Struthio camelus: one gene and its partners. The protein of the gene in region 3 purifies or fractionates together with the protein of the main gene of each other region. This does not show direct contact. Links are inferred from orthologs where the notes say so. Each region holds a gene or a part of one and is shown on either strand. Other genes may lie near its edges. The genes, in order: RAB2A, RAB7A, VDAC1 and BSG.

Region 1 (7,978 bases), on a different chromosome or scaffold from region 3:
TTACACAGTCAGTTTCTGTAGCTATCACTTTAAGAGACTGAGATCATACTGAATTCCTGCGTTGAAGTGCATGAAAGCATTTGGAATCACAATTCAGAATACACACGCAGGTGTCTTGTATAACTGTACACTTTTTTTGTTGTTTTGTTTATTGCTTGCATAACCCACTTTGTTTTGTAGTGCTGAAAAAGGAAGATGAGCTAAATATCAACATCTGTCCTGGGTTGATGCTGTCTTACTTTTCATCTAGAGTTTGTTTACAACTAATTGCTGAGTCACCAAGCAGTTGATCCACTTCCAAAGACTCTAAATCAAGTCCCAAAGACAAATTTCTTGATCACTATGGAAATTACAGGGCATGCAAGGCCACCGGCATATCTTCACTGCTTGCAGTGCTGTGGTAGACCACCACTGGGACAGAACAGGCGAGTCCCCATACAGTCCATTAATTTCCATCAGTACAGCTACGAATGCATCTGCCTTCGGCAGAGGAACAGCAACACCTAAACCATCACAGTCATTCTGGCAGCAAACTGTACACAACATAAATTGTCTCTTTGATACTAGCTATATTAGAATACTTAAAAGGCTCATAGGAGATCTAAATAAAAGCAAAACCAACTTTCCACTATTGGCGAATCTATTGCACTTTACCAGCGATGGTGGCACTAGTTTTAATTAGCTTCCTATAACAACTTTGAATAAAAGCTACAGAAGTTTTTCACTTTTGGTAAATTTGTGAGCTGTTTTCTGCTCAGTGTGTTTCTTCTAGATCTTACAATTCCCATATTTGGTTAAGAAGCAGAAACAACTTCAGAAGTGACATACATCCAATTCTGTATTTCACATTTCAAGTAACTGAAGTAATCTTCAATTATGGTGCAGAAGGGTCAGCAGAAACCACTGCCCAGAGGATATTTCATTTAAAAAATTAATCTGCATATCATCAATGTACCAAAGCAACTGTTTGCTGCCCTCTCTACCACTCTGATGATTACAGTTTTTAAAATGCACCAGAATACAAGGCCAACTGTTCTGAAGCGCTATGACCCTGAATTTTGTACTACCATTTTGCATCATTCTGGGCAGAAAAACCTCCTTTTACTTCCCTTGACTCTACTGACATAATCTCCTGTCCTCTACCGTGGCTTATGAACTGTCAGTCACGTAAACACTCAAGAACAATCTGTAGTCTTCTTTATCATCTATGGCCTATTAAATACTTCAAGCTGGTCATTATAACCATGATATATTTCTTACTATTTATTTGTACTACAGTTTTTAAAAAAAGGCTGAAGAGCTTAAATGTTAAAAAATTTTAAAAAAACAACAAAAAATACACAGTAGTTGCAATCCAGGCTATTTAACAACCACATGCGTAATGCAACTATAGTGTATAATTACAGTACCACAAACTCCAGCAACAGATAAACTGGTTCATCATAATGAAGTGTAACTACGCAGGTATCCCTAGAATAGCATGTAGAGACAACCGTGTCACCAAATTTATTACAGAGGGTATTTATTCGGGTATGAAGAAGACAATGAGAAAGATGCACAATGCACAAGCACAATAGCTACCTATGTTATTTACCTTGTCCTGCCAAAAGTGTGATAGAAAGAATGCCATCTATATCCATACTAGGCTAAGGAAGCATAGAATATGTTGGCAAAAGTGCATCAAACAGCAATTCCTATCAGCATAGGGTTATGCCTGCAGCATTCTTAAGCAATGTTATTTGCAACATGGCAGTCAATGACAAATAGAAGAGAGCAAGTTTTTAAAAATGGACAAGAAAATAGGTGAGCGGGAGGAAGAGACCGCAGATGCAACTTGCAGCATCTGGGAAAGCAGTTAGTCAAAAAATGGCTGCTGTGAAGTAGAAGGAAAGAACTAGGCCTTTAAATTTCCCTTTGACAGCATATCCTGACACTTAAACAGCTTGCTATTGCACCTCCAGCCCGGGCTGGAAACGGCACCCTTGCAGCCCAGTCTGAAGGTACCTTCAACGGCACTGGTCTTTGCCTCACCACAAAATTCCTAGGAAGCCAGCAGCACCTCTTAGGCCTCAGGGCTGCAGAGAGGTAAATATGGGGCCGCTGCCTAGCCGCGAGTTTTACAATGACAGCAGCCCCCATCCCACCCCAATCTCCGCCCCTGCCTTTCACGCTCAGACGCCGCAGCCCGGTGTATGACACACCCCGGCCTGCCCCACGGCCCGTCCCCGGGCCCCGAGGCGGCTGTCAAGGGACCCCGAGGTCTGCGGCCGCGGCCTGGTGCGGGGCGCAAGGCGGCCGAGAGGCAGGCCGAGGCCACGGGCGGGGCCCAGCGCAGAGGCGGAGGAGCCGCCTCCTCGCGCACAACCACCACGTCGACGGAGCCAACACTGCGGAAATGGGAGCGGGGAGCCGGGCCCGGCTTGCCCGCCCGCCCCGGGCCCGCCGCCCCCGCCGCTCACCTGTGTCCCCGATGATGATATATTTGAAGAGATACGCGTAGGCCATGGCCGCCCGGTGCCCGCCTCTCCGGCTCTCGCTGGCTCCTTCGTGACGCGCGCGCGCTCTCCCCCCGCCCCCGCTGTCAGGGCTCGCGCTGCGGAGAGTTCCAAACGGTTAACGGCCGCCGGGCGGGGGCACACGCTCCGCGGCCGCCGCGCCCTCCCTCCTACCTGCGCCCGCCGCCTCCCTCCCGCCCCTGCGCGGCGCCGCGCGCGCGCGCCCGCTCGCTCCCGCGCCTCTGCCCTCTCTCTCTCTCTCTCTCTCCCCCTCCCTCCTTCCGCGCCCCAAAGCGGCCGGAGGAGGCAGGCGGCAGCGGCGGGAAGAGCGGGCGGCGAGAACAATAACAGGCGCCTCAGCGGCCCCCCAGCCCCTCCGGCAACGTCACGCACCAACCTCCTCGCTCGGCCCCACCCCCGACCCGGAAGTGCTGAGGTAGCCGTTGCCCGGCGCGGCGGCGCGTGCGCGCACGTGCGTGCGCGCGGCCGCCGCCGCCGCCTCCTTCCCTCCCGCGAGCCGGAGGGGGCGGGGCTCCGCCGCCCCGCCCCGCCCCGCGGCCCCGCCCCGCGGCTCCGGCGGCGGGAGGGAGGGAGGGAGGGAGGCGGCGGGCGGGGGAGCGGGGCTGCTGGGCCGTGCCCTCGGCCGTGCCCTGCCCGGGGGTGGGGAGAGGCTGCCTTCTCTCTCCGGTGCGGGTTGCTGTTTTCCTTGGCGTTGAGGGAAGGGCTGCGTGACCAAAACACGCCTTCCCGGGAGAGCGGCTTGTTGTGAAGAGGGCCGTCGTGGCCCCAGGCGGGCTCCCTGGTGATTCCTCTGCTAGAGGACTCTTGCCAGGGAAAAGAAAGCCGGCCTGCAGGAAGAGAAGCCGCACAGGAGCCCGTCTGAGCCAAGGCCTTGCTCGAAGGCCTCGAGCGTCCCGCTGTAGCTCTCGGTTTGCATCCCTGCCAGGTGATGCTGAAGTACTGGAAGGGGCGATAGCGCTTTGTGGACCAAACCCAGCGTTGGTGGGGTTTTGGGTGGGGGCGTCCCAGCGCTTGGGGTGTTTCTGGCCCAGAGCTTCCAGAAAAGGCTTGGCCTAAGCAGTAAGCAGGAAGTTATCCTGCGTTCACAGCTGTTGTTGAGGACTTCTTGAAGCTCACAGGGAACTGGTGAGTTGGAAGAAACTGAGTTATTACTTAGTCTGAACATGTGCCCTAAGAGCGCAGCACACCTAGACCTTTGGCTCTTCAGCAGTCAAAGGCGCTTTGGCTCACGGGTCGTGCCGAGGTGACGGCTCCATACGGAGGGGAAGGCTGTTTGGCTCTCCAGGAGGATGCTAAGGCGGATGATACCTGCGGTTCAGCTGTTAGTTTACTGTGCGTTGGTGGAACTGCTGAAGAGACGTTGGCATTTTCTTCGTGTGAACTCAGAGGGCCACCTTTCTGGCCGTACCAGTCTGGCAGCTTTTAACTGTATGACGATTTGTGTATGTGGCACTTCAGGTCAGGAAGTTGGACAACATTGATTTACACCATTTCTAACAGGTGTGCGTCTAACCTGCTCTGAAGAACCTTCAATTCAAGCTGATTGTGCAGTACACCAAATCTGGTTTTCATATTTCATGAACTTTCTAAATATTTTCCTGAAATCCAAAATTAAGCTTATTTTGTTATTACCTTTTCTTCTGTGAACACAGCAGACAAATGATTGCCATGAAAGGAAAGGCAGTCCTTTACATATTATGAAAGTTTTATCTACATTGCTTTTCCACATGAAAAATTAATGTTTTCAACCTTCCTTCATCCATCATTTGTTTGCTCCTTTTTTTTCTCTCATCTGTACCTCTCCCACTTTCTCAACATTATTTGTAAAGTGGGGAGTCAAAACAGGAGTTCTCATGTGTCCGTGACACCAGCCTCATTACCCTAAAATGACATCACGTGAGTATCTCCAGCACTGGATGAACTACAGTCTTGCTCCGTGCTGAATGTGATTTTGCTTTTTTTGCAACAGCGTCTCAAGAAGTTTGCTTTTCGTCCTAGATCCCTATCCTGTCATGACGTTATTTAGCCAGTTACTACCCAAATGTCTCTATACATTTGATATCTACTTACTAAGCATTGCATTTCCTTTTACTAAATCTAGCTGTTTTGATCACGTCCGCTCAGTTCGTCAAGAATATTTGAATTTTTTTGTCATTCCATCCCAGCCATTCCGTTACCCAGGTTACTCATGAAAATATTGAATAGGTCCTGGACAGGACAGAGCTCTGGAAAGCCACATGTGACATGTTCTTTTAGTTTAAAAACCCTTTATAATTGATTTTTTAGCCTTATGTGTACTTCATAGTGATTTCTTCTGTTGCATTTTACTTAGTTTGTTTTTAAGAAAGTGATGCAGAAGAGTATCAAAAGCCTTCCTGAAGTCCAGTTGTGTCACACTCACTTCTTCCTTTTTGCCGTGTAGCTTGTCAGAGAAGGACAACCAAATTGGGTTGGTTTGATCATTGGCTATTCTTGAGAAATCCATCCTGTCTCTTTATCACTTATTTTTTACAACCTGTTGAACTTTGTTCATTAAAGCTTTTTTCCTTTTTTTTTTTTTTTGATGAAGCTGATCATATTGCATAACTTAGTTTTCCTCAGTCAGTAAGTTATATTTGAGCAAACCAGATTGGAAACTGCGCGTGTGACTCTAAGGCATTTATCTTGGAAATCCGGGCACTTTGTCTCCACCTGAAGACATGAACTGAACAAAACTGTGTGGAAAAACTTCTTCAGCTTCTTTTGGAAGACTTGACTTTCCCCATGGGGAAAAAAAACCCCACTTCCCCATTATTTTACTTATTAGAAGTGATTGTTCTAGCAGAATTTTTCATTAACTAACAATTCCTATGTAGGATGAGTTTTCTTAGAAGAACAGGCTTTTTTGCCTCATCTGTGAAAACTAGGCTTCTGTTTTTACATAGCTGTGCATACAGGATCTGCCTCTGTCCTCCCTATCCCAATATATTTTCATAAAAATTGTCATCTGTATGGAGAAGAGTACCTAAAGGAAAATCTGTAGATGAGGTCAGTTATTAAATAAGTTCATATTGAAATGAGTCTTCTTAAGTGCTGCATCTGTAGGTAAGAACTTTATGCTACCTTTGGTTTGGTGCCCATCAACCGTGGGGCACAAAGCTACAGGGAGCCAGGCATCCTTAGGCTGCTAAGTTGACCAGATTTTATCCAGCATAAGTTGAGATTGCTGCCAACATAGATCGTGCAGCTCTGCCCCCACTAACCTGCTCTTATTTCCTGCCTCGTTCTGGCACTGTTTGTGTCATCTGTGGATCAGGGAACTGCCGTGGCTAAACTTTACATTTTTCTGTGTTATCATTCGGCCAAATGAGTTCCCTGCCCCATCTTATCCCACAGCCACATGAACTATAATGCTCCTGCCAGCTTGCTCAGATGGTTCCTGCCTCTACCCAGCCAGTCCTCACACCACAGAGAAGGTCCTGTGGTTGTGATAGCTAAAGCCCAGTCTGGAACGCCAGTCACACAGCCAGGTGTTGACTCACAGCATGAGCCCTCTCCTACGGAGCCTCTCTCTCCAAACTGGCAGGATTAAGGAGAACCACATGGACTTCTGTGTCCTTCACCATTGCCTCCACAGTCCTGTACTCACTCGTGTGATACGTTCCAGGTCTCCGGTGGTAGTAGTCGGGATTCCTGCGTGCTTGAGCCACACAGGGCATTAGTCTCTGAGGGCTGGACAAGCCCTGCCAATCTCTCCACAGCAATCTCTCTCCCAATGTAATAAGTTTCAAGTGTGTTTGCTTCACTGATGGGATTTGGTTTCTTAATTTTCTGGGAAGAGTTCTGTGGTCTTCTAGGCCACAAGTTTGACACAAGCAAAACTATCTAGAATAATTCTGATCAGAAAACGGAATTTCCATTTTGTAAAATTTCAGGTTACTGATGGGGAGAAAATACAGGTATTACAGAAGTCCAGTGAAATGGAAGGATCTCTTTAACACTACTGCTTAACAGCTTCCTAATTTGATTGACACCCTTCTATTCAGAGGGAAGTCACCCTTACCTACTTCGGCACCCTGGTGACTCAGAGAGGTAGCCAGCTTGCCTGCAGCATATAGTGGGGCAGCGGCCACTTGGCTGGCTTGCTGGCTGCTTGGCTAGTCAGAAAGTCAGCTATGATTTTGGTCAGCACTGCACAGTGAACAGATAGCCAAACCACTTCTGCTTATCCGCTCAACCTGGTGTGCTTTAAATGTTTTACGTGCGCACATTTATGCAGTATTTCAGTTACTTGGGATCCTACTGCTTGGACAGTATTTGGCAGAGGTTTGCAAGGATAACAAACACAAATTTGTTGCTTACGCTACCCCATAGTAAATACAAGCTAATTTGCTGCTGGATAAGATGACTGTATGCCTAAGTTATTCCATTCTATCAGCAGTTCCACAAATTGCAGATGCCTCCAAGTGGAGTTTAATGCAAAACTGATTTTCCTGCAAGTTGTATTTAACATTTGTTTAAATGCTATTAAGAGGCTTGTAAGTAAATAGGCATTGTGTTTGCTTAATTTTTACCTCTCATCTGTACAAATTTCTGTTATCCAGACAAATGAATATTTTACTTTTTAAGCATTAAAACATTAAGTGTTAATAGAAGGCTACCATGGACTGATTCTGAATTATTAAAAAAATTATTAGTCAATAGATATAACAGAAGCAGTAGTTATTCGATACTGAAACACAGGGTTTGCAGAGGGTTACTTTGATTATTTTAATGTTATTTTCGGTAATACGTGTTATCTATCAGTGATTTTATATAACAAGCTCTTTAGAAATATGATAATATATTTGTCTTAGATGATAGGATTAGGATTATATTGTGGCAAATTTAGTACACTTGAGAAAACTAGAGTTTGCTCTTTGTTCTATATCATAAGTTTGAGGTTTATAGCAAGCCTTAAAGTTTGCAAGATCCTTATTACTAGTAGTACTCTTTGAGAAAGAGCCATGGAGGCATTCCAAGCTCCAGTTACTCTGCAGAGCAAACCGTTAGAGAAAAATTTTGTGTGGGAACTGAAACACAAAAGCAGAACCCTAGCATGACACTTGAACAGAACCACACTTTAATTATAATTTGCATTGTACTACTGTTTAACTGTCAGAAGTCAGTTGCTAACCTGTTATTCAATTTAGCCTAAATTTTTAAAGCGTTTCTTTGCGCTATTAGCTTATTTATACAGATGTGGAGTAGAAACTATTATTTGCTTGTATCTAGCACTTACTCAGTCTGCACTTTTTCTGAATGTTAATTTTATGCCACGCTATGTTATTTGTGAATTTTATTTAACAATTTTTTAGAAGATTAGGTTTGTATTTTACATAAGTAAGGGGGCAATATATAGTTTATTTTATTTTATTTTTATAAATGTCAAGAATCAGACCATGCCTCATGAGTATATACAGAGCAGATCCTGCAGGAAGACA
Region 2 (7,863 bases), on a different chromosome or scaffold from region 3:
TAGTGCACAGCTTGACTTTAAAGCCCAGTTCAGCATTTCAGCACGTTCTCATCTTGACCCTCTTCCACCAAGAGGAAAAGCTTTAAACCCCCTGCTGTACTATAGGGGATCTTAGTACCAGCTGGTCCCTAGAAACCAGAGCTTAAGAGCAGTATATGTGACAGTTGAGAAGCCCAGACGACTGCTTTTTGGGGACACTGGCAGCAGGCGAGACAAGAGAATTCTGTGCCTGGCTATCAAATGCCCAGGCTACTCCAGATACTCAAGAAATTGGTCCATTATAACATGAGGGAGAACTACCAGCACACACCTGTGAGCCCAGAGACCCAGCAACTTGTTTAGGGAATGCAAACATCCAACCATCCTATTCCACAGCCTTTACTCCTAAACCATGGCTTGCCAGGCACCCATCTCAAGATGCAGCACTGGAGGAAAACGCATCCTAATCAAGCGCAAACAATTTTGTTTACAGCCAAATGCTAAGTTCTGCATAAACTAGTCTCATTTTCACAGAGAAGTCAGAATAAAATCCAATACATGTTAGAAGCAAGGCTATTTATAGTTGTGCACAGATGGTTTGATTGCAATTGTCATGTTTCCTCAAGGACAAGCTTTGCCAGAGATTTGCTCTGGCAGGTAGTTCACATGACCTTCTAGCACAGGAGTTTTAAAACAAGAGCTTTAAGATGCTGCAGAAACTGCACCCGGTAGCCCTCTTGTCCCTAAACATCCAGTCTGGGTAGTAAACCAAGCAGAGCAGTATCTTCCCTAGGTGAGTTCTGAAGAGAGCCTACAGCAGAGCCATGATTTCACTTTCAGCTAAGAACTCATCCATGTTGCAACATGCCTATGCTGCTTTGCACAGTTTGAGCCATTGGCTTTGGGGGAGCAGGGACAAGGATGCCTGCAGCGTAGCCACTGCAACACAGCTATTTCAGCTTTTAAGCTTGGCACCTTCGTATTTTACAGTACCATTCCTAGAGGGCCACGGTGAACTATTAGTAGGGCATTTGAGGACTTAGACCACCAAGTGACACCACAGGCAAGAGGCAAGTTTAATATAACTGCTATTTTGGATCTTACTGGTTACATTTAATTCTGCAGGTTAAGAGAACAAGGGACTGCCACAGGTTTTTAAAACAGTTTTCCTTATTGAGGAGGCAGATTAGCCTCATCTTACAGCTTTTCTACACCAGAAGTAGCCTTTTAGCATAACAGCACACAGAAGATAAACGGCAGCACACTTGAAAGTAACAGTATTACAGCTGCTTTGCATGCTAAAGACTCAGGCCAGACATGGTGGGTCTACTCATTAGTTCACTTAGCACGAGTCATGTGTTTAGTCAGCTGTTGGAAGTCACAAGGGGAAAGAGACAAGTATACTTGTTCTTCCTAAAGTAGTACAGCAACGAGGCCCTGGTTATTTAAACAGGGAATAGTCAAATGACTCCACCCACTTTCACCTCAAATACTGCTACTAAGAAAACAGGCTACATTTGCTCAGGTAGCCTGGCCCTGGAGGAAGCATGGCCCAACTGCAGTTTCCATCAGGCACTACTAGTATCATCGCAGCTTGTAAACATAAAATAGCTGCGAGTAAGCCTTCAAGTCAGAGCCAACCAAGTACTGTAGCACAACTGGTTAGGTACCATTCTCCCCCAGAAAGAGAGCTCTTCACTCCCCAACCTCAATTTCTACTTGCTACAGTAATACTAGATGCAGAGTACTAGGCAAAAAACAGAGTTGGCTGGCCAAGGACAAGTATGGGAAGCCCTAAAGCTTCCAACTTAGTAATTGCCAAGTAGAGCTCAGCTTGCTTACAGTTGGGAGGACTTGGTTCTGCTATGTGCTCTCAGTTTATATATAAAAATCCTACACAAACATATTACAACAGCTCTACTTGTCAGCTAGTATTTTTATTTTTGAAGAAGGCAATATTAAGGAGTCTAGATGCAACTCAAAGGATTAAGTTATTCAGTAAGACTCATGCATTTAGACACTGAGGTCACCTCTCTTTAGGTTAAGAGGGCCTTTTTATAGCTACTCTACTATTAAAAAGAATTCCTCTACTTACAGGAGACAGGACAGTTGTCCTAAGTACTATTATTAGATATTTCCATATTTATTAGCCTATATGGACCTGCAGATTTGTAACTTATCACTTACTTCACTACACACTCACAGCCAAAAAGCACTTTTGACACCTAGTCTAATACTTCTTAAAAACTGACTCAGGCTTTACACAAACACACGGAGCTACTTTCGCAATAAACTGCCAGTCTTTTCAGCTGCCTGTTCCATCACGTTAACTGCTCCGGGGGCAAGCTGCTCACCCCTAAAAACGCTACCCACCGACCACCCCGGGCAGCGCTTGCCCCAAGACCAGCGCCGACGACACCTTTCGGCCCCAGCCCTCGTCACGTTTCGAGGGGAAGCACCAGCGGAGCCGCACACCGCCAGCGACGCGCTCGCCTCCCTGCCAGCCACCGCCGGCAGCCGCCTGAGACTTCTCCTGAGGGGAGGCTCCATTGTTCGGCGAAAGGCGGCTGGGCCCGGCCCGGCCCGCGGCGGCTTTGTCCTCCCGAGCGGCACGGCGTCGCAGGCCGCCCCAAGCCCGTCGAGGGGAAAGGGGGAGAAGAGGAGGGGGGGGGGGGAGCGGCGAGGCCGCGCCCGGGGCCCGGCGGCGGGGCAGGGCCCGGCGCCCGCGGGAGGGGCCCCGCGCGGCCCCCGGCACCGGGGCGGAGCCGCCGCCGCCGCCACCCCCCCCCCCAACAACAACCAGGCCCCAGGGAGACGGTGCGCGGGGAACCCCCGGCCCCGCTCGCGGCCGGACTCACCGTGCTGCGTGTGGCCGCGGCGCCCGCCCGAGACTCGCTGCCTCCCCCCACTGCTCGCCTCAGCTCGGCTTTAATGGGACCCAACCGCCTCCCCGCTTTCACTTCCGCCTCCCCCCGACAACTTCCGGTCACGGGGGCCCGCCCGGCGCGCGTGACGTCAGCGCGCCGCCGCGGGGCCAACGGGAAGGGGGAAGGGGCGGTGGCGCCGGCGCCGGCGCGTCACGTGACGGCGGGCCGGCCGCCATGTTGGGGCGCCGAAGCCTCCGTGTGCGGCTGGCTGCGTGACGGCTCCCGCCAAATGGCGTCAGCGGGGGGGGGGGGGGGCTGCAGCATGTCATGGGAGGAGAGCAGGTTGCCCAGAGGTTGTGGAGGCTCCATCCTTGGAGATAACTGGGCACCCAATTGGACGTGGCCCTGGGCGAGCTGCTCCGGGCAGTCTGGCGTGAGCAGGGCGCTCGGACCAGGTGTCTCCAGAGGTCCCTGCCGGGCCCAGCTGCTCTGGGATCCGGAGTGAGATAGTAGCAACAGCACAGGAAAAAAAAAAACAAAAAAAAACCCTGTAAATTAAAATATGGCAATTTAAGACACATTCAGGTTGATTAATCAAGCAACAACCAGTGCCAAGATCAGCAACGAAGGCAGATGCAATGGGACTACGTAAACTAACTCTCTAGCACCTCGCTGTAGAAAAGAAGCATCATCCTGGTGGTACAAGCGCGCTCTGTGTTTCCTACTCGGCGTTTTGGCCGCGAGCGTGTTGTATTATTCAGCGCTTACTTGAATATTCTGTTGTGTTCATCCACGTCACATGATTATTGTAGCTGTAGTTGGCCCATAAGCTTGGGAACGCAAAGACTAAAGCAACCAAGGAAAAAAGTATTTTTAGAGCTCGTTGAAGAGGCAAAAGTAATGAAGCCACTTATAGCTTCATTAAAAAAGGAAATTGCTTCTGAACAGTATACACCAGGCAGGACTTTTAGCTTGGTAACAGAGTGCTTTTTCTTTCCTCTTTGGTCTTTATTTTGTCCTGAGACAATCTGCCACGTAACGTTAGGCAAATTGCTTGCCTTCTCTGCATTGGTAACACAATTTGCCCGTGCGTAACCTGGAAACAGTAATGCTTACCCCAGAAAGACGCTGCAAGGTTTGATTCATTAATGCTTGCAAAGCGGTTTGAGATCAACAGAATTATGATCGCAGAGCACAGCAAATGTACTATTAAAATCCTTATAATCTGTTGGGCCTGGTTTGAATCCCTTCACTATCCATCACAGAGAACACGGGGCATGCTATTTACAGTGTCCTACTTTAGAACTAAAGTCCGACAGCAGTGGCGTAGGGGACTGAGCCCGATTTGGAGTCTCTGTTGTCAAGGGAAGCCTCCACACTGACTGCTGTGAAAACCACCTCGGCTCCAAAGGACAGCCCAGCCCAAATTCAAGTACACACGTTCACGCTCTCCCTTCCTTATGCCAGCGCCGGCTCTCGTCTGACCCTGCGCTGAGTCACTTCAGCATTAAATCTGCAGACAACTAACACGAAAAGGAGCACAAGATAATTTCTCTGCCAGCTTAGTGCACTGAACTGGCTTCATGCAGGCTGCAGCTGAAGCAAGGGAAGGCGTGGGTGAGGCAGGACACCGTCATTGCTCCTTAGACTGGTTTAGGTTGTGGTGGAAATGCAGACTAACAGAAGGCAAGTGGGAGCCAGGGCTGCTGGGTTCTCCTCCTGTGATGCTGGCAAGTTTATTACTGCTTTCTAATTTCTATATTTGCAGGACTGTGGCACTCTCCTCACAAGACAGGGGAGCCCATGACATCTACTTTGTTAATGCTTTTAAGGTGCTCCATTAAATGCAGAGAGCTGCAAAAGAACCTGTTATCAATTAAAACAAGGACCTAACAAAAGAGGAAAAGCCTTGCTTGGTGAAATGATGGAGAAAACCCTCGCAAAGATGCATGTCTTCTTTAGATGAGAAGGAAAATATCCTCTCAGCTCAGCCCCAGGACTGCAGGCCCTGGACACGTGGACATGCCAACAGCAGGTGGGGCAGAGCACTTGGTTGCCCCGGTCTGCATAGTTCCCTTAGCAGGAGACCCCCCACATGCTGGGCTGTTAGGAGCAGACATTAATGGTGAGTTACAGTGTTCCTCTGCTCTCTTTCCTGAAAGCTTCCTTTTTCCTTTCTTTTTACATGATATGAAAGCCAATCAAAAACCATGGGTGAAAGTTCTTCCTTCTTCTCTACCACCGAGCGATCCTGGCACCAGTGTAGCGTAAAACCTACATCTATTACATATTTTTATTATCCTGAGAATAACCTCACACCAAGCTCCTGTGTCACTTGCTAGCATGATCAACAGCGGTGTCATGGACTAATTGCTCATGATGAGTTTCTGATCCTCTCTGGAAATGCTGCATGTCCTCAGACTGACGAGGCAAGATCCTGCCTGCCTGGAAGTACATATGAATCCTGGCGCTCAGGAGGACCGATGTCAGCAGAGAGGTCCTTGCTATCCATGTAGGTCTCCCGTCTTTTGGCACAGCTCACACTGACGTTCACAGTGGCAGAATGAAAGGGAAAAGACAATGGTAAGAAAGTGGTAAACGGATGTACTGAGTGGAGGCTGTTGTGTTTCTGCCTGGCCATACGGACATACACATGCACACCTTCCCACCAGAAGGAACCCAGGGCCTGGAAGAAACCGGAACGCTGTGCACTGAGCAGCCCAGCCCAGCTGGACAGCACAGCTTAGCGTCAGTAGCCTGCGAAGAAAACAGCGTTTCTCATCTGACCCCTTCATAATAGCAAAACCCAATGAAACCTCTTAAAAATGGATCAGTTTGAAACTCAATGCCAGTTGTTCCCAATCACTAACATCACTCTGAAGAAATTAGTTCTCTCGCTCTGAGGGACACGAGTGAGTGGGTCCCTGATTTTATAGCGATCAGTCTTCAGACATTTACCAGTGTAGCAACCTCAACATACTTCACGCACCCATCCCTCTAAACCAGGAAGTAAGAATATCTCCAGCTTTGATCTTGTTCTCTTTGTGACAAATCATCTCTATTTACCAATCTTTCTGATCCAATTAGAAACAATAAAACATGATATGCCTTATACCATCTCTTCCCTTGTCCTTTGACCGAAATGGGCCCTCCCTTTCTAGTCCCTAAAAAGACACTGTGAATAGAAATAGCATGGACACAAGAACACCCGCTGGTTGCTAATGGGAGGGCTTGCAGAGAGGTCTACGCAGAAAACCTGCACGGAAGCTTAGCTGTAGTAGCTGCAAACCGTAGACATTAGCTGTGAACATGTGACTTTCCCAAAAGTGCCTGCATTCATAATGCGCTCACCACCTTCCCATGGACACACAGCCACTCCACCTCTGGCCATCTGTGACATTAAAAGCTTGGAGTGAGCCCTGCTCATTCCTCTGATACTTATTCAGCAGGCCTTCCCCCTCCTCGTTGGACACATCCCCAGGATCTTTCCTTGCCTGTGGAGCCTGGGAAATTGAGCACCAGCCCATCGTGACAATAACTGCTCAGTGAAAACTGTCTGTCCTGTGATCCTTGCTGTGCTCTCGCAACTAGCTTTGCAATGCTTTCCTCTACCACCTCTGCCTTTCCAGACCAGCTTCCTCAAATTATCATTATAATGATTTAACTTACTGAAATAAAAAAGAGGAACTAAGATGCAGCAAACATACAATATCTTGCTTTTGTATTCCAAGCTTTGTCACTCTTTGATTTACTCTTGTCTAAAGCAGGTTCACTCTGCCTCTGCTGGCATTTTGTACATTAAAAATCTTCTGCTATTGCATGACCACCTGTGCATTTCCACTGGCAAGAGTCTTTTGCCTGCCCTCGTCTCTAATTCCTGCTTGCAGTACAAATACCACTCCATTAATCTACTAATGCTTTCACCTTTGCAATCCTCAGTTGATTTCTAAGTGTTACAGCAGCAGCAATACATGAAAATAAAAAGCTGGCTCTGGACAAGACTTGATCACCAGACACCAACCATAGGAAGCAATTGTAATCCCTTTAGCTCATGGCAGGTCTCTGATCCATGCTTCTGCTGATGGGTAGAGAACAGGGCACAGATTGCAAGGGATTACTAGCCTCTATACTCATTGATAAAATACATTGCTGGAAATACATCTCAAAACCAAACCACTGATAAAGTGTATAAACACAGACATTGAAGTCTGAGATCCATGAGGCTTGGGGGCTTACCTGCAGTGTTGCAAAGCCTGACTCTGAGACGTCCCGTCATACCAGACACAGGAGGCGCGGGCACTGAAAGGAAAGGGTTTAGGACTCCAAGAGGTTTCAGAGCTTTCCCCTGCTTAATAACAAGAGTCACAAAAACACTGCAGAGTTTTGATCCCTTTGTTACGAGGAGGAGATAATACCGGCACCTTCCCTTTGATGACCAGCTCGCCCCCTGAGACATGAGGGTCCAAGTGCCTCCCTTGGTCTGCCCTTGAATCATGGCCACCTACATGGAGGGATTCTGGTCACAGGACAATATGTTGAGCGGAGGGGACTTCCCTTTAGACAAGTGCTGGTAAGACAGGCCACAGAAACAAACATATCTTGCTGGGGAACGGTGCCAGATGGCCACCGCATGGCTTTGTGCTTATCCATTTGGCATCACTGTAGTTACCTGGAACCTGCATTGGTGGAAGCCAAAGCCCTTAGAAAATTCAGATGTCGCAAGGCAAAGGGGTGCTTTGATGGTCAGGATTTTGGACTCGGGGCAGAGATGTGCCTCAATCCTATTTATGACTCTCATCCCAAGAGGCTGTCACACAAAAGTGTGACCATCACACCTGAGTCCCCGGCAGGACTCCCAGCCAGCTTCCCTGGCACCAGAAGTTCTCCGACAACAGCAACAGCTTCCCACTTTTACAGCTGGTGCTAAATACCAGATAATTAATTTTTACAACTGCGTTGGAGGTATGCCGGATAATTTCATATGATTGTTCTCAGTACGCAAGTGGAGAAGATGATC
Region 3 (7,139 bases):
AATATCACTAGGATCAAATTAGGTAATAATGTTTTTACTCATACTGAATAGCATTTTGTTCATAAGCAAACTACTGACATCAGTGGTCCTGTTCATGATACAAGGGAATAGTCAAAATATAGCACACTTCAAAATGGACAACAGACCTGTGGGTAAAATGAAGAATTTTGTCAGAGGAAAAATAAGTTACCCTCCCTTTCCAGGCAGTAAGGACAATGTGAAGCTGTGATATAAAATTCTCTGAACTCTAATAAAAATTATTGCAATTTTTGTCAGAGAAAAGCAGTAAAATCATAACAAGTCAGTTTCAGGAATCAGGTAAACAGTAAAAGACCAAATTTATTTATATTTACCGTATCCCTTGGTGAAAACATCTCTGGCAGATTTTCCCAAATCAGCATAAGCTGGTGGAACAGCCATTTTCTGGGGAGGAAAAACAAAAACAAAAAAGGACAGAGAGGGAAATTACAGTGTTTGGAAACTTGTTTACTGAAGCCAGTTCAGCAACCGGCAACTTAAGCCAAATTCCTAAGTTTCAGGCAGCCTGGTTTCTATCCACCACCTATCAATTTAATATAATATGAAAAAAGTAGCTATAGCGAAAAGTGAGATTTGATTTCCTTCATTAGCCAGCGTTAATGATTAACAAGCATTTGCCACTGAGGATGAGAAACAGGTTGCAGAATAAATATAAAAAAGAAGAAACTTCTTCTGCCTTTCAAAACAGTTAATTTTTTGCTTCCTTAACAGGAGACCTGCATGAATGATTAGTTAACTATTTCTGGCAAGCATTTCTCCTGTTACTTGCAATTAATCTGTGTATCCTGTTGCAAAGAATTTGGACCCCAAGTCACCCAACTTTAATTTTGGAAATCCCAGGACAGTCATCTAGCATCAGTAACACCTATCTCCCCCTACTTCACAGCAGCAATTGGATAACACGTTAGCAAAAGCAACAAATAGTCATTCTTCATCTACCATTCAATTTTCTTTGACTTTGGTACAGCTGTTAATGCATTAAGATTTCTCCTTAGTCAGTGATTTTTTTTTTTTTCCTGTTCATCAACTAGGGGAAAAACTGAGCTTACTGAGAAAAATTAGGACTGAAAGGATGCCACGTTGTGAGTATCTAGAAATCAGCTAGTCAGGAGGGTAGGTGCTGCCCCTGTTCAGCAATCAAACCTAGATTAGAGCTCTGTGCAAGACCTGGAACGAGGTCTCAGCACAAGGGTAAAGACACTGGAGCCCAGTAGGGGCAGCCTCCTCAAACTTCATGTTGCGCTCTTATTTAGGCCCTCAGATTCACGCGTTCAGCAGGTTCTGACCATTCTTAATTCAATGGCCTCCTGCAAGAAAGGAGAACACATCCCATTTTCTCAGCCACCAAGACTCTCATTGCATACAGAGGAGAGTATGAGCCTGAGAGGAAAGAACAAACAAACCGAATTACTTCCTTATTGAAGTACAGTAATTTGTTCTATGGAACCAGTCATATTCAAACCATCCGAAGTGGTGTACACCTTCTTTCTTCATGTTCAAGATTTCATAAAAAAGCAAAGGAGAAATCATCCTCATAAAGCTGGTTCTCTTAATACCAGATTTTGCACTAAAATTCTACATTCGCAAACACTTTTTGGTTATGGAGCATTAATAATAAGCTTATTACATACGAGTGAAAATGTTTTGTTGAGAATTGCCTACTAATCCTGATTCCAGACTATTCAACGTTAGCAGAAAACTATTCTTTTAAATCACAAACAAACCAGCTGTCTGCAAACATGAGGGAGTGCTCACAGTATTCAGAGTATCTACTCTGGCTGTAGACTTGGATTCAGTTCTTCATTCAAGCACACCACCCCACGTTTATCAGATAGGGAGTTTCAGCAGTCACTTAACGCCTCAGGCAACTCCATTCAAGAAGCTGTTGCCTGTTAAAGCACGATACCCGCTATTGCATAAGTGAAGAATCCCTATCCTAGAGGGTGCAAAACAGATCTGTTGGCTCAAAGCAAACAGTCGTCTTAGAACACAAATATAAGTAGGATTCAAGGGTGCATACTATGATGTAGCTTCAGTTGCTGAGACTGTACTCGGAGGCATCAGAGTCCTGTAATTTTTTCCAGTTATATTTCATTAGTAAGTTGCAGCCCCAAATACCTAAGCCGTTAAGTAGTTAAATAAAAACACAACGTATTCCATATTCCAAAGCCGTTTCAGCTGCTTATATAAGACCTAAATGTCTCTGGTTTTGTGCCAACATGAAAGCCAGAACGTAAAGTTTATAAGCATCACTCTCTACAGGAGAAACCATTTTAAGAGTTGGTCATATATGGGGTTCTGGAAACAAAAAAATAGGCTTTAAAAGAAGAAAAAAAAACCATTAACAGATTTATTTCTAAGTAATTCCTCTGCTTTTTATTAGGGTCACTAAAAACAAAGTACAATGCCACTGTTGGAGATCATACCAACTTAGGGTTAGAGCTAAGGGAGCACTCAAGAGAGGACAGAGAGCCCAGAACATCTTGAGATGATCCACCAGGGGCTGTATGTATTCAGGAAATGCTTCTTTCCAGTCAGGGCAGCGCAGTCTCATTAGAATGCTCTGATGGGTATTTCCACTTAGCATCATCAATAAATAAAAGTGTTAAAAACCCTTACATCAAAAAAGCAAATAAGTATCGCTTTGAAAGATAATGCATCCTTCTATCGGCTGCATTTCAGAATCTACCAGATGTATTTTGAGTTCATCAACAGTTACTTTGAGTTACTTCTTAAAAATCAATGTATTTTCTGGAAAACTGAATACTGTATGTTTTTGGTTTGGGTTCTGCTGGGTTTTTTTGAGGTAGGGGGCTGACTAATTTTCCTTTATCAAAGCCCATAAAGCCAAATTAGGCTCTCACCAATATTTGCATATCTCCACTGATCCACAGAGTCCGGATGTACAAAGTGCAGCAGAATGCAGTCCGTCCCCAGTGCTCAGCCATAAGGCGTTACTTAGCAGCGGGCTATCAGCAGGGAGAGGCAACCATGCTTGTAAGATGAATCAGCTGTGACATGCTGCTCTACTGTAGCAGTCTAGGCTGTGGTTATAGGACAGTGGGATATGTCTAGATCTCCACTTCTGCAATTACTATAATTAAGGAAGCATATTGACAGCTAAATCCATGTCCATTGTAAGGCTATTTGTAAGGCAAATCATGTAATGCACACGGAACAAGGCATTTAAAATTGCTGAGCGTGGAAAACACTCTATGAAATATGTATGTGGTGGTTAACCTTACTGTTGTTGCCATCAAGGAACAAAAATAATTATTTCTGTTTGCACTAGCTAATCTATGTTCAGAAGCCTCTTGTTTAACAGATGGAAAACAAAACTCATTACATTCTGTGCAACCACAGGTTGGAAGACAAGCATGCTTAACAGGGATTCAAATTCTTAAAGGATCAAGGAACAGCCACATGGCCAAGTGCCCTTGCTTTTCACTGGTGGAATCCCAGGACATAAATTCAGATTAGGAGCGAAATGATTTCATTGATTTTATCCTTGTCCAATAGCGCAAATATCTCAGAGTGACTACATAACCTCAACTCCTGCACAAAGCAGACCAAGGAGAACATATACCCACGTTCCAGGAAGGAAAATATTTTGTTCTGAAGGAGTAGGAAGTACTGTAGTGCATATCATGACTGAAATACTGCAAAACAACTTTCAGAAAACCTGAACTAAGGACTTAGCTCAAAGTGGTTGTTATGAGCACCACCCAAATGAACGCTTGATTTGTAACTGTAAAAGGGAGAAAACATGGAGTTTTCTTTGGAGCTGTAGGACACAAGAACCAGCCCCAGTGAAGAAAACTGCATTGAATACAAGGCAGTTCCAGCAGGGCTGAATTTGACTCTAAGTATTTTCAAGACAGATGTCAAAGTCTTTACTCCACAATACAATTTTGGGATATTAACTCAGAATTAGTCTAATAGGCAGCAGAGCACTGAGGTGTCCTTTGCAAATGTAAGAACTGGCTGCAACCACAGGGAAAACCACGGTGCCCTTTCCCTTCCTGTGCTGCCACGAACCTGCGCCTTGAACTGGCGCTGAAACTTGCCTGCCGCTAGTCACACGCAAGCTCACATGCACTCGGTTTCTCATGCCTTCCTTTCAGGCACCAGCTCATCTGGGGCGAGACAAAAACTAGCTGTCCCACTGATCCGCATTTATATGGATGTGACAAGAGACTTCATCCTTCAAATTCAAATTTTTGCTTGATCGCTCTTTTTCATGACTAAGTTAAAGTTTCCCAACACAGACTGATCAACTTTATGATATTTACATGCGGGGAAGGACCTATTTAAAAATTAAAGATAAGAATGAAATACATCAAGGGTCAAACTCCCATGAAGACAATCGGGTCTCAGTTGGACCTCACTCTAGTCCAATTTTTCCTAGGAAATTTGACGAGGGCCTTCTGCCTCAAGATCCAAAAAATCTTGTTACTTCCTATTTATCTCCTTTTTTAAAAGAAGAATTATTCTTTGGTATGAAGTAACTTTTAAATGCCTTCCCGGATTCCTGGCCTATGCAATGCCATTTCCAAACCAACAGATTTTGTATCAATAAATAAAATATACAGCGCTTTTGCACTCATCCAGAATACGACACACAAAAGCTGCACTCCTTTCAGATTCCATGACAGACTGGTCCGAGTCACCAACTGCTTTGAATCAGACTCAGACGCCTGATTCTGCAGAAACTTAAACACGTGCTTAACTGTAAATACATGAGGAGTCTCCACTGAGGTCAAACACCACGTTAATCACATTCACAAGTCTTTTCAAAAGCTAGTATAAGCACACAGTTTGTAAATACTTTGCTTTATGGACCAGAATACTTAACATTTTTTGCCCTAACCTGTTACTGTGGCAAAGTCATATAACCCGTGCACCATTATGACTCAAAATTTAAGACTCTGGAGTCTGCAATTTCTTTCATGCAGATGCATTAGTAAATCCATGCAACGTCCCACTGATGGTTACGACAATTGTTAGGATCATAGCCTTCCTACTACAGCTTTGCTTTCAAACTAGTTAAATGATGTAGCATGTTTAGTTCTTAAAAGATTTATTTATGTGATACATTTTATCTCCTCTATACTTCACAGCTTATTAGGCTACAACCGCCTTAAAGTAAATGTAAATACTGTGCTTTAGTCCAAATTAATACTTATGGAATTAAAGAAAGAGTCTGTTCTTAATTTCATGAGTATAAATTAAGAACAACTTCACTGCATTGAAACCATTAATTGTTATTTATATATGATAGTTCAATAAAACAAAAGTTGGGGGATATAATTTGCTACTACAGTTACTAAAACTGTAAGGGACGAACAAAGAATCACACTATGAGCTGAATTAAAAATTCAGGTTAACTATCTGCTTCTTTCAAATATACGACCACAAAGAAATGAACGGTGCTCTCGTCACTCACAGCAAGGCTAGAGCCAGAATAAGGGCAATTAATATTGGGACAATAACTCCCTTGTCTCACGAGCACCATGCAAGGTACAAGAGTCACACTCACACACCAGCAGAGCACTCGAGGAGGTGCATGTCTCGCATTCCAGGCCATTTTCCACTCACGGTAACGCCCAAGATCAAATCAATGAGGATCACGAATTAAAACAGCATTTTGTCTTCCAGCACGTTTTGACTGCTTGCTCCCTTTCCACAGAAAAGGAGCATCCGCTACGCTGAAACTTCTGCTAAGGAGCTGGTTTATGGTTTTTCTTTGCTGCAGTGTCAAAGCACATGTGCGTCTGAGATTTGCCTCCTCACTCTCAGCGTTCTGCTGACTGCATCCCCCAGGAAAGTCACAGAGCGGGGACCGCGCCTGCTGCTATGGCAACAGACGGCAGCATCCTACGCGCTGAGTCACCCTCCGACACGCACTCCCTGCAGGTAGGTAGCAGAGAGGGTGCAGAAGATGGAAGGTGGTATACTTGATCCATAACGTAAAGTGTTTGGGGGAGCAGTTATTTTAAGGTATCTTTTCAACAGTGCAGAACAGCGCTGACTGTTGAATTTGACAGGCTTTCACAGATGAAATTCCAGAGGATAGATCACTATTCATCTGTCCAGTGCACTAAGCAGAATGAACTGCAGAACACTTTTGATCCTCACTACTCAAACTGAAAATAAGATAGAATCTGTTTCAGCTGGCTCAGTATAAGCATTCCCTGGAGACACAACCGTGCTATAGGTCAATAGAATGAGTCAGCTCTGCTTCACTTTCAGAATTTTTTATTACTACCTTTTACAAGCAGCCAAAGACTGAATGACTTGATCGCCCTCCAGCAGGAGTTCTTCCAAGGGAGGACTGTGATGAAGCAGAATGGAAGCAATTTTACTGCTGCTCCTGCTGCATGGTGCTCTCTCCTTGTTTCACGGCAGGGGAAAATTCAGCCCCTGAGATTTTTTTTAAACTGACATTTTTTCCCCCCAACATAAAAATAAATTTTGAGCATAAACACAACGGTAAAAAAGAAAAATCACAGGCTGCTTGGGGTGGGGCTGGGGTTTTTGGTGCATCTCAGGATGAACTTGCCAACCTGCTGGAACTCATTAAGATTCCAGGGGTGAGCGAGTAAGGTGGAAGGGATGTCAGCGCTGAAACAGCGCTTAATCAGGCCGGCTTCCCAAGCGCTGCCACACACCATCTTTGCTGCCTGTGGATACGAGAAATTATATCTCCTTCTGGAAAGGAGGGTTACTGAGAAACCTGAACGCACCCCCGGTGCCAAATGACCTTTAAATCTCCGTGACGGAGCCAGCGGCCGCGCTGATTCGCGCGCGGCCTGCTCCGGCAAAGCGAACAGGACGGCGCTAAGGAGGCGGCTGCCCGGGAAGAGCGCAGCACAACCGCCGCCGTTCTCACGTGCCACCGCCTCGCTCCAGCGCCCCCAAACCCAGCCCGCCTCACATGTCGCCCTCACCCCACGCCTCAGAGAGAGGCCACAATTTCGTAAGAGCGGGCCGCGCGTTACATAAGGCAACGGCTATTCCTGTTTTAAGAGGCGTTCGCTCGCCAGAGCCCCACAGGGGCGCCGCGAATTCCCTGCGGTCCCGCCCTCACCCAAGGCCGC
Region 4 (7,492 bases), on a different chromosome or scaffold from region 3:
TTTGTTAGCTCTGCTGTGCATGGAGCTTCCCACTCCCAAAAACCACTCAGCTAAGGAATTGAGGTCACGCGAGGGAGGCTGGGTTATAAATACTTTAATCCTTGTTCAGCTCCCTGTTGCTATGGGGAGAGAGGCACGTCGGCACAGCCACACAAAAGGACATGATGCCTCTCCAGCTGCTGGGCCAGTGCCAGCCAGGCCTGACTGTAATCAAAGTGGAAAGCTCACTGCACTGTTACAATAAGGTTGGTATTCCAGTTTCTGCTCAGCTACAGCCTGGAAACAGTTTCCAACTGTAACTTGCAGGCAACTACTCAGCTTGTTCTACAGGGACAGGCTAGACTTTGAAAGTATACTTGAGGTACATACATAAAAGCCAACTGTACAGATAACATTTCTCCTGTTCCACACATGGCCTCTGGGGGAGCAGAGAGCTCATTTCCTTTCCAGAGCCACAGATCCTTAAAGCTCTGGGAAAACATCTCACTGCACTGATGTCAATGCTGCAGAAAGCCAAGTGCTCATGTTCTCCAGACAGCAGGCCAGCCAAGCAGGCAGCCCTAGCCACCTGGCACCTACCTGGTGCTGCTGAATCCAATAGAAACTCACCTAGCCCGGCAGAACATGGGCAGGAAAACTTTAAGTAGCAGTACTTTTCAATTTATTAAGAGGGCATGGTGGCCTATTCACTTTCCCTTCTTCCTCCTTTCTGCCCCCTCCTCCCCAAAAAGGAAATGCTGGGCCTTAGCAAACCTTTATTTTGCTCATGTTCTGAAGTTCCAAAGTTTATATTTTATGCAAGACTGTATGTGACAGTCCTTCGGTTTAGGTTCAACTGATATGAAACATTAGCCGTTTCTGGTAAAATAACTGTCCCTTGCGTACAGACATATTCTTATCTGGCCTTGCCCCCGACACTTACGTGTAACTGGTGAAAGCATTCGATTCCGTGTCCGTTTGAAGTATCTTGTCTCCTCTCATCCACTCATGGCCCTCAATGGAAGCGTAAGGCGTAGTCATGTTACAGGAGAGGACCAGTTTGCCAGAATTGACAGTTACGAGAGTTACGATGTTTGGACCTGCATTTGTAAATTCAGCTGAAGTTAACATGTGCTATTCCAGAGGTTATACACCTCCCCAAGAACCTTTAAGGCAAATATTTCCCAAAAAATACAGCTCCTTGTCTCCACCATAGCTTTCTACTTACCTTCTTAAATCAGATTCCTACCAGGACTGATGATACCAGCACAGGACAGAGTTGAAAGCCCGATGACTAGGGCCTGATGGCACTTAGCAACAATAGGATACTGACCCTACAGCTGCTACCACCACGGTCAGGATCACTGCCATGCACTCAACAGTTTTGAGCCTCCTGCTATCTCTACAATGGGTGCAGTTCATATATTGCAATGGAGCTAAGTGCTCAAATAAGCAATGAAAAAGGTCACACTGAAGGGTTTCATGAACCATTTTAGCACTCGCTGCATGTTAGCACCTTCCAGAATTTGAGCAGATCTGAACATCTCCAGGTAGCATAATTGAGGACAGCAGTCAAGACACTTTCGTCAGGAGCAACAAATATGACAGTATGCAAGCAATATGCACACCACCTGATACAGCTCAAGAATTTATAGCTATATTTATTCCAATGAGAACCTATGTAGCCATGATTCCAAAAGGTCCTAGATCTCCATTATGCAACATAAGATTACTCAGACACTTCTACTTGTAAGAGGTAAGTCCAAGAAAATAGCTGTCATTAGTAGAGCCATTATACAGCCCTGTGACACTTTAGGTTTCCTACCCTCCCACCCATTTGCACTTTTTTGGAAGGAATAATTTTTACACAGGGCTGAAAGGCATTTTGTTTCTCCTCCTACCCAACAAATTCCCCCGGAAGAAAAATCTGCTGGAACTTTGTATTTCCTAGTACATTTAAGCTGAGGAAAATGTTAGTAATTTTGCTCCATTAACTTCAGGATTCACGACAGGATCTTAGCAGGATGTTAAATTCCCTCAAACTAGTTCAGGTTTCTATTATTGGGAAAGAAGCAGCCTCTTAGCTCAAGAGTTCAACTTTCAGCTCTGCAAGTAGAGGGAGTCTGGTCACTTCCACAGTACAAGCAACTTAATCACATTCAGTGTCACACACAGACACGGCCATTTCAAAAATGGTTGCTTCACAAGAAACTAAAAGCAGATTTTGATCCCCACAGCTTGTAACACTAGCAAGAAAGCGAGCTTAAAGCAAGACGTTCACAGGAGCAGAAGCTGTAATGAGCTGTAGGGCAGGGCTGGTTTGTCAGTGGTGGTTAAGGCAGAGTCTACCAGCAGAATCAAAATTCTTAATTCTGCAAGCCGGCACTAGGACACGGAGGCACTTAAGCAGTATGTTCTACTGTCTTGGGCTCTGGAAAAGGTATAGGATTGCTGCATGGTGTTTTGGTTGGGAAGTCACAACCCTTTTTGAGCAGGGCCACTTCGGATCAAGTCACAGGTGGTGAGGGAGATCACAGGAGGGTAGGAGTCTCAGTTCTACAGCCAGGATGGGAAGGTGAAGGGAACTTTCAGGAAGTCACAGGACACAGGTGCAGGGGTGAGCATGGCAAGAGACTCAAGACATCAGTGTCCGAGCAAGTGCCAAGGCCTCAGTATGGCCACTCACGTTCGATGACAAAAACGTTAGCCTGGGAACGGATCCACTTGACTTTGGGGCTCTTCGACAAGTGGTTGCGGTCAGGGTCGTTGCTAGCCCGGCACTCGTACATGCCCGAATCGTCGATTGAGAGGTTTGCGATGTAGATGGTACTGGTAGAGTGCAGGTTGTAGGTGGCGTTGATTTTGACACGGTCCTGCCGTGCACCATCCCAAAGCTGAGCATAGGTCTCATTTGGTTCGCTTCCCTCAAACCACCACTGGATCTCAGGAATAGGATTGCCAATTGCCTCGCAGTACAATTCGACGCTGTCCTGAGTCAGTCTCTTTTGAGACAGCGGTGACTTTACAAAACCAGCTATGAGTTGAAGAGGTATTAGTGCAAAGTGTTAGTGCAAAGCAAGAATTCAACCTCTACAAGGAAAAAATTTCAGCCACTGAGAAGATGGAACATAACTCTTCAGAGTAGCATACTCTCCCAGCTCCCTCCCCTCTACAATCCATAAGCTATCTCCAGCTACACAGTCAACTGCCCCATGCCGTGTCTACAGCCAACAACACTTTTCGCCACTCTGATGCAAAACCAGAGCTTGCAGAACAGCCACACTTACAAACACTAGCTGCATGAGCAGAGAAATACGAGGCAGGAAGAGAAAGAACAATGATAACGTTCCAGATATTCAAGAATTGCATTCAGTGGGCTGTAGCTGCGTCAGTGGAAGTTTGATAACTACTCCAGCCACAGAATTAAGTTTCAAGCTCAAAGTTACCAGCCCTGATCATTGTTACCTCATTACCTTGGTTAAGTTCTGCTCAATGGTCTCTGTCTGGGAATACAGAGAGCCTATTTGCAATACTGATTGAATTCCATTGTGATGTTAGTTATCAGCTACTTAACCAGCAGTCACTGAATTGCATCCTTTCTGTCACAGTCTGCATTACAAACATGATGCTCACACTGGGTCGGACCAAGTATCTCTCTAGCCTAGTACCCAGATTCCAGAGGCGACGAGCTAGACACGCCTGCAATACTTCTTTCACACTCCTCCCTGTCTCCAAGCATTTTCAGCTCAGGATGTAAACTTCAATGGATTTTTGTTCCAACAGCTTATCCAGTCTCTCCTGTCCCCCCAAAATTTTAGTATCTGCTATATTCTGAAAAGGAGGTCCACAGGTCTGCCAAAATCTCTGTTGCATATTGCAGTAAAAGGCTGGCAGCAGCAAGACAGCATCATCTAGTATGCGTTCCACTGTAAAAAGGACACAAAGAAAGCAGCCACACAAGCCTGGTGAACTAGCAATCCTACACTGGCCTCCCTACTCTGACACACTGAAGGTCAGAACATTTTGTGCATACAAACGTTCACACTACAGAGACATAGCTCCCCACTCGCCCGCAGAGAGGGGCATGTCAGTCCCTCCCTGAGCTTTACGCGCCCAAAGTCAGTTGATCTCATTTGAGACCTGGCCAGAGCCTGGCACTCATCCTGTCACTACGTGGTGACTAGATGATGTTGGGCATTGTTACACTTATGGTACCATTTGCCTGCCTCATCTGCCAGCCTTCATTGCACTGCAAGATCTGTTCTCCTTCACGTTCGCACATGCTTGCTTAGTCATCCTGCTCACTAAGATGCAAGTCAGATACTTCTAAATACAATATTCAAGACAGCTGCAATTTCTGAGAGCATCTTGCAGTCTGCAAGATGTCACAAGCCAGGTTAAGAAATCTGTAATATTCGTTGTAATACAAACAACGAAATTATACTTTCTTCATCCCAGGCAAGCTAAATTAATAACACAGATTAAAAAAACATGAGAGACAGCTACAGGCTAAAACTACAGTATTTTTCAAATTGCTCTTGTGCTCAGAGTCCAGAGGGTTCAACTTCTGAAAACAGACAGTTCAAAGGTAAAGCCATAAGTCAGTGCACTGCAGAAAGCAGAGCTGCCAACCATTTTTAGGGCTATTAGCCAGATGCAGCACTATCAACTACGAGCAGCAGCTCCCAGATGTAAGATTGTCCAAATCATTACAAGACAGATGGGAGGAGAAGGCCCAAGCAGGGCTTTCTCCCCCCTCCCCCCGGGGGGGCAGGAAGGAAGTCTCTAGCAACAGCATTTCAGGAAAAGACATCATATTTGCGTCAAGGTTACTTATGTGACTCAATTTCAGCAAGATTTAAGCAGAGCTACTTAACTTTGCAACATGCACTTCCTGTACACTGATTTCAGACTGCACTACTCAGACACCAACAGTAGACCTGCCAAGTATCTACCATACCAAGAGTCATTCCAAGAAGTTAACTTACTCAGTAATAAGTATTAAGAAAGCTCTGATTATATAGATGCCCTCCACACACGTATCATGTCATACAGGCTTAAGAGAGGTGGGTTGGGGGATTTCTTTGTTTTTGAATGCCCAAAGACATTTTAATAAAAAAAATCTTTTTTTGCAAGCGTGGGAATAAATCAGCATTATAAAACCAAGTTTGCTCAAATCCAAGCAAAACAGAGACGTTTGCTAGGTAATTTTCAGAGGCCTACATAAATAATTTCCACTGTTTAAACATTTCTCAAAGGAAAATTTAGCCTTACACTCTGAAGCTTTAGAAGTCTGAAAGAACAGACAGGTTTGGACAAGGGAGGAGAGAGCTGACTCTCACCTGAGACCAAGACAGTTTTAAGAGAAGGCTGATAATTAAAACTGAGATATTTTGAAGCAGAGGTCTGTTTGAGAATAACTCAGTGGCTAAAAAAGAAGTCTGGTGCCATTTCACGTACTAACAACAGTATCAACTGTTACATTCACAAATGCACCATTCAGTAATATATTGGCAGAGGTTTTTAAAGCCTCAAACTGACTCTGTATTACAGAATTTGACTAGATACACTAGAATGATCTTCCTGATTTTTTTTTTTTAAAAAGGTCACTAGGGGTTCTAAAAGAAATATGGAAGTATTAATCGCAACTTCCTCACACACTGAGCTTCACTTCTAGAACATATTAGAAGTTGAATCCTGTTAAGCAGCTAGAAAAAAGTTAAACAGCCCACCAAGGTTAAACTCATACTGGTGTGGGATAAGCTGTGCTGTATTTTGGTGGGTGAGTTTCCTGACAATTTTGCATGCCAGTTTAGTTTTTAAATCACAAGCCTGTGATTTAACCCTCCCAATCACCTAATGTTGAAAGTCACAGAATTGACTACAGTATTTGTAAAAATCAGTCCCATTTTAACTGAAGCCTGATTTAAAGTGGGAGCTGCTAGTGATCAAGGTTTCCTTTACAGATACAAGCTGATTATAGTGCACTGATAAGATATTTCAAAGTTACTTGCTCCAAATTAGAAGGCACTTCATGCACAGCTCAGATAGTAATGTGGATCTGCTGAGCCTCTCTAGGCACCCTTGAATTCAAATGATAAAAATAACAAGTATCATTCCCTTTTCACATGGGATTAATATCCCCTCTCTGCTTTTCCAACACAAAGCAGACTAATCGAAGTCTCGGACGCTCAAGGCTGGGGAAAGCACCTGCTGAGTCCTAGGACATACCAGTACAGCCAGCATCAACCCACTGGAATTGATCAGAGGCATTCAAACGATTTCAAATGGTGTTGGGCTGGAAATTGAAATCAGCTCACAAAAGCCAGGCATTCCTCACAGAACAGAGCCAATCACAGAGCTGAGCAATTCTCCTGGGGACCGGGCAGTATTCGATCAAGCTGGACAGTGGCAAAGACAGACATGACCAGATAACACTCTCTAGAGTCACCTTCAAACTAAAAACAACCTCTCCCCACTGAGCAGAGGGAGGAGCTCTCATGGCACTCGCAGCACCCAACAAGCACAGACAGATCTCAGTGCAGTTAAACCTGGCAGAAACCTGTGTCTTCCTGCAGGGTACACTCATCCATGGCATGACCTTTGTTTCTCAGCGTAGGAAGGGGATATATGAAGCTCTGACACTTATTGCCATTTCCACTAATAGCTATAAAGCCTACTCTCTCTCAAGTTTCATATAACCAGGCAATCACTAAATAACCAAGTCAAAGGCAAGTGCTTTCAGTCAGTTCAGGAAGTCGGAATACTTTGTCCTCTCATGATCTGAGAGCAGAGTCCAAGCATGCACCTACCTACAGACTTGGGCCTCTACAACTTAGGCAATTGTTCTCTGCTGCAAGCTGCAAAGAGTTTTAACAGTGCAGTTTAAAAGGAACATCTCTCAAGAAGTCTGCTCTCTAGATGGAAGTCTAATGTTAAACACAGCTGAGAGGTAAGGAAAATCCTTACAGTCCGCTATTATGTTTACTTCAGCAAAAATAGAGCATTGTTACACACTCGCCAAAAGCAGGACTTCAATGACCAACACAACTCTGTTACCATTAGAGGATCTCAGAACAATAACACCCCTACAAAATAAGGGTGAGCTAAAGCTCAGGTAAGAGACACCCTCAAAAGGCACAGTAAAATAGAGACAAGTCTCTACAACTGCCCAGAGAGAATGCTGGACTTCAAGAGACAGATGACCAATAAGCAGCTACATGATTGGGGGTTTTTGTGTTTTTAAGTTCAGCCATTTTCCAGAAGTAACATTTGGATTAGCAAACCAGTGTGAAGTGATCTAACCTAGTACTCCACCATCCAAAGCATTATAGCCCTACAGACTGTTGCCCTACAGACTGAGACCAAAGGCTTGGCTGGAAATACCAAGCCTAAGAGAATCTACATCACTAGAAGGGCAGGGTACACATATTACAGAACAGATTGGCCTGTGAAGGAACTCTTGCTTCCAAGGCGTTTCAGACCAAGAATAGAAATAACCTTTTCCAGATGT

What was found.
Region 1: the proteins of VDAC1 (region 3) and RAB2A purify together in Homo sapiens (affinity purification with mass spectrometry; 3 studies listed by BioGRID and IntAct, with this or other methods). This does not show direct contact. The link is inferred for Struthio camelus from reciprocal best matches to the Homo sapiens genes VDAC1 and RAB2A.
Region 2: the proteins of VDAC1 (region 3) and RAB7A purify together in Homo sapiens (affinity purification with mass spectrometry; 3 studies listed by BioGRID and IntAct, with this or other methods). This does not show direct contact. The link is inferred for Struthio camelus from reciprocal best matches to the Homo sapiens genes VDAC1 and RAB7A.
Region 4: the proteins of VDAC1 (region 3) and BSG purify together in Homo sapiens (affinity purification with mass spectrometry; 3 studies listed by BioGRID, with this or other methods). This does not show direct contact. The link is inferred for Struthio camelus from reciprocal best matches to the Homo sapiens genes VDAC1 and BSG.

The regions. Positions count from the first base shown.
Region 1 is NC_090943.1:135,022,986-135,030,963, forward strand, and holds the start of RAB2A (ras-related protein Rab-2A), read right to left. Parts: upstream 3,018-7,978; 5' UTR 2,889-3,017; intron 2,594-2,888; 5' UTR 2,506-2,593; coding exon 2,460-2,505; intron 1-2,459.
Region 2 is NC_090955.1:6,976,553-6,984,415, forward strand, and holds the start of RAB7A (ras-related protein Rab-7a), read right to left. Parts: upstream 3,016-7,863; 5' UTR 2,838-3,015; intron 1-2,837.
Region 3 is NC_090954.1:3,701,520-3,708,658, forward strand, and holds the start of VDAC1 (non-selective voltage-gated ion channel VDAC1), read right to left. Parts: upstream 3,003-7,139; 5' UTR 2,988-3,002; coding exon 2,904-2,987; intron 424-2,903; coding exon 354-423; intron 1-353. UniProt on the Homo sapiens protein: Non-selective voltage-gated ion channel that mediates the transport of anions and cations through the mitochondrion outer membrane and plasma membrane.
Region 4 is NC_090967.1:7,635,586-7,643,077, forward strand, and holds the start of BSG (basigin), read right to left. Parts: upstream 3,008-7,492; 5' UTR 2,769-3,007; coding exon 2,666-2,768; intron 1,080-2,665; coding exon 923-1,079; intron 1-922.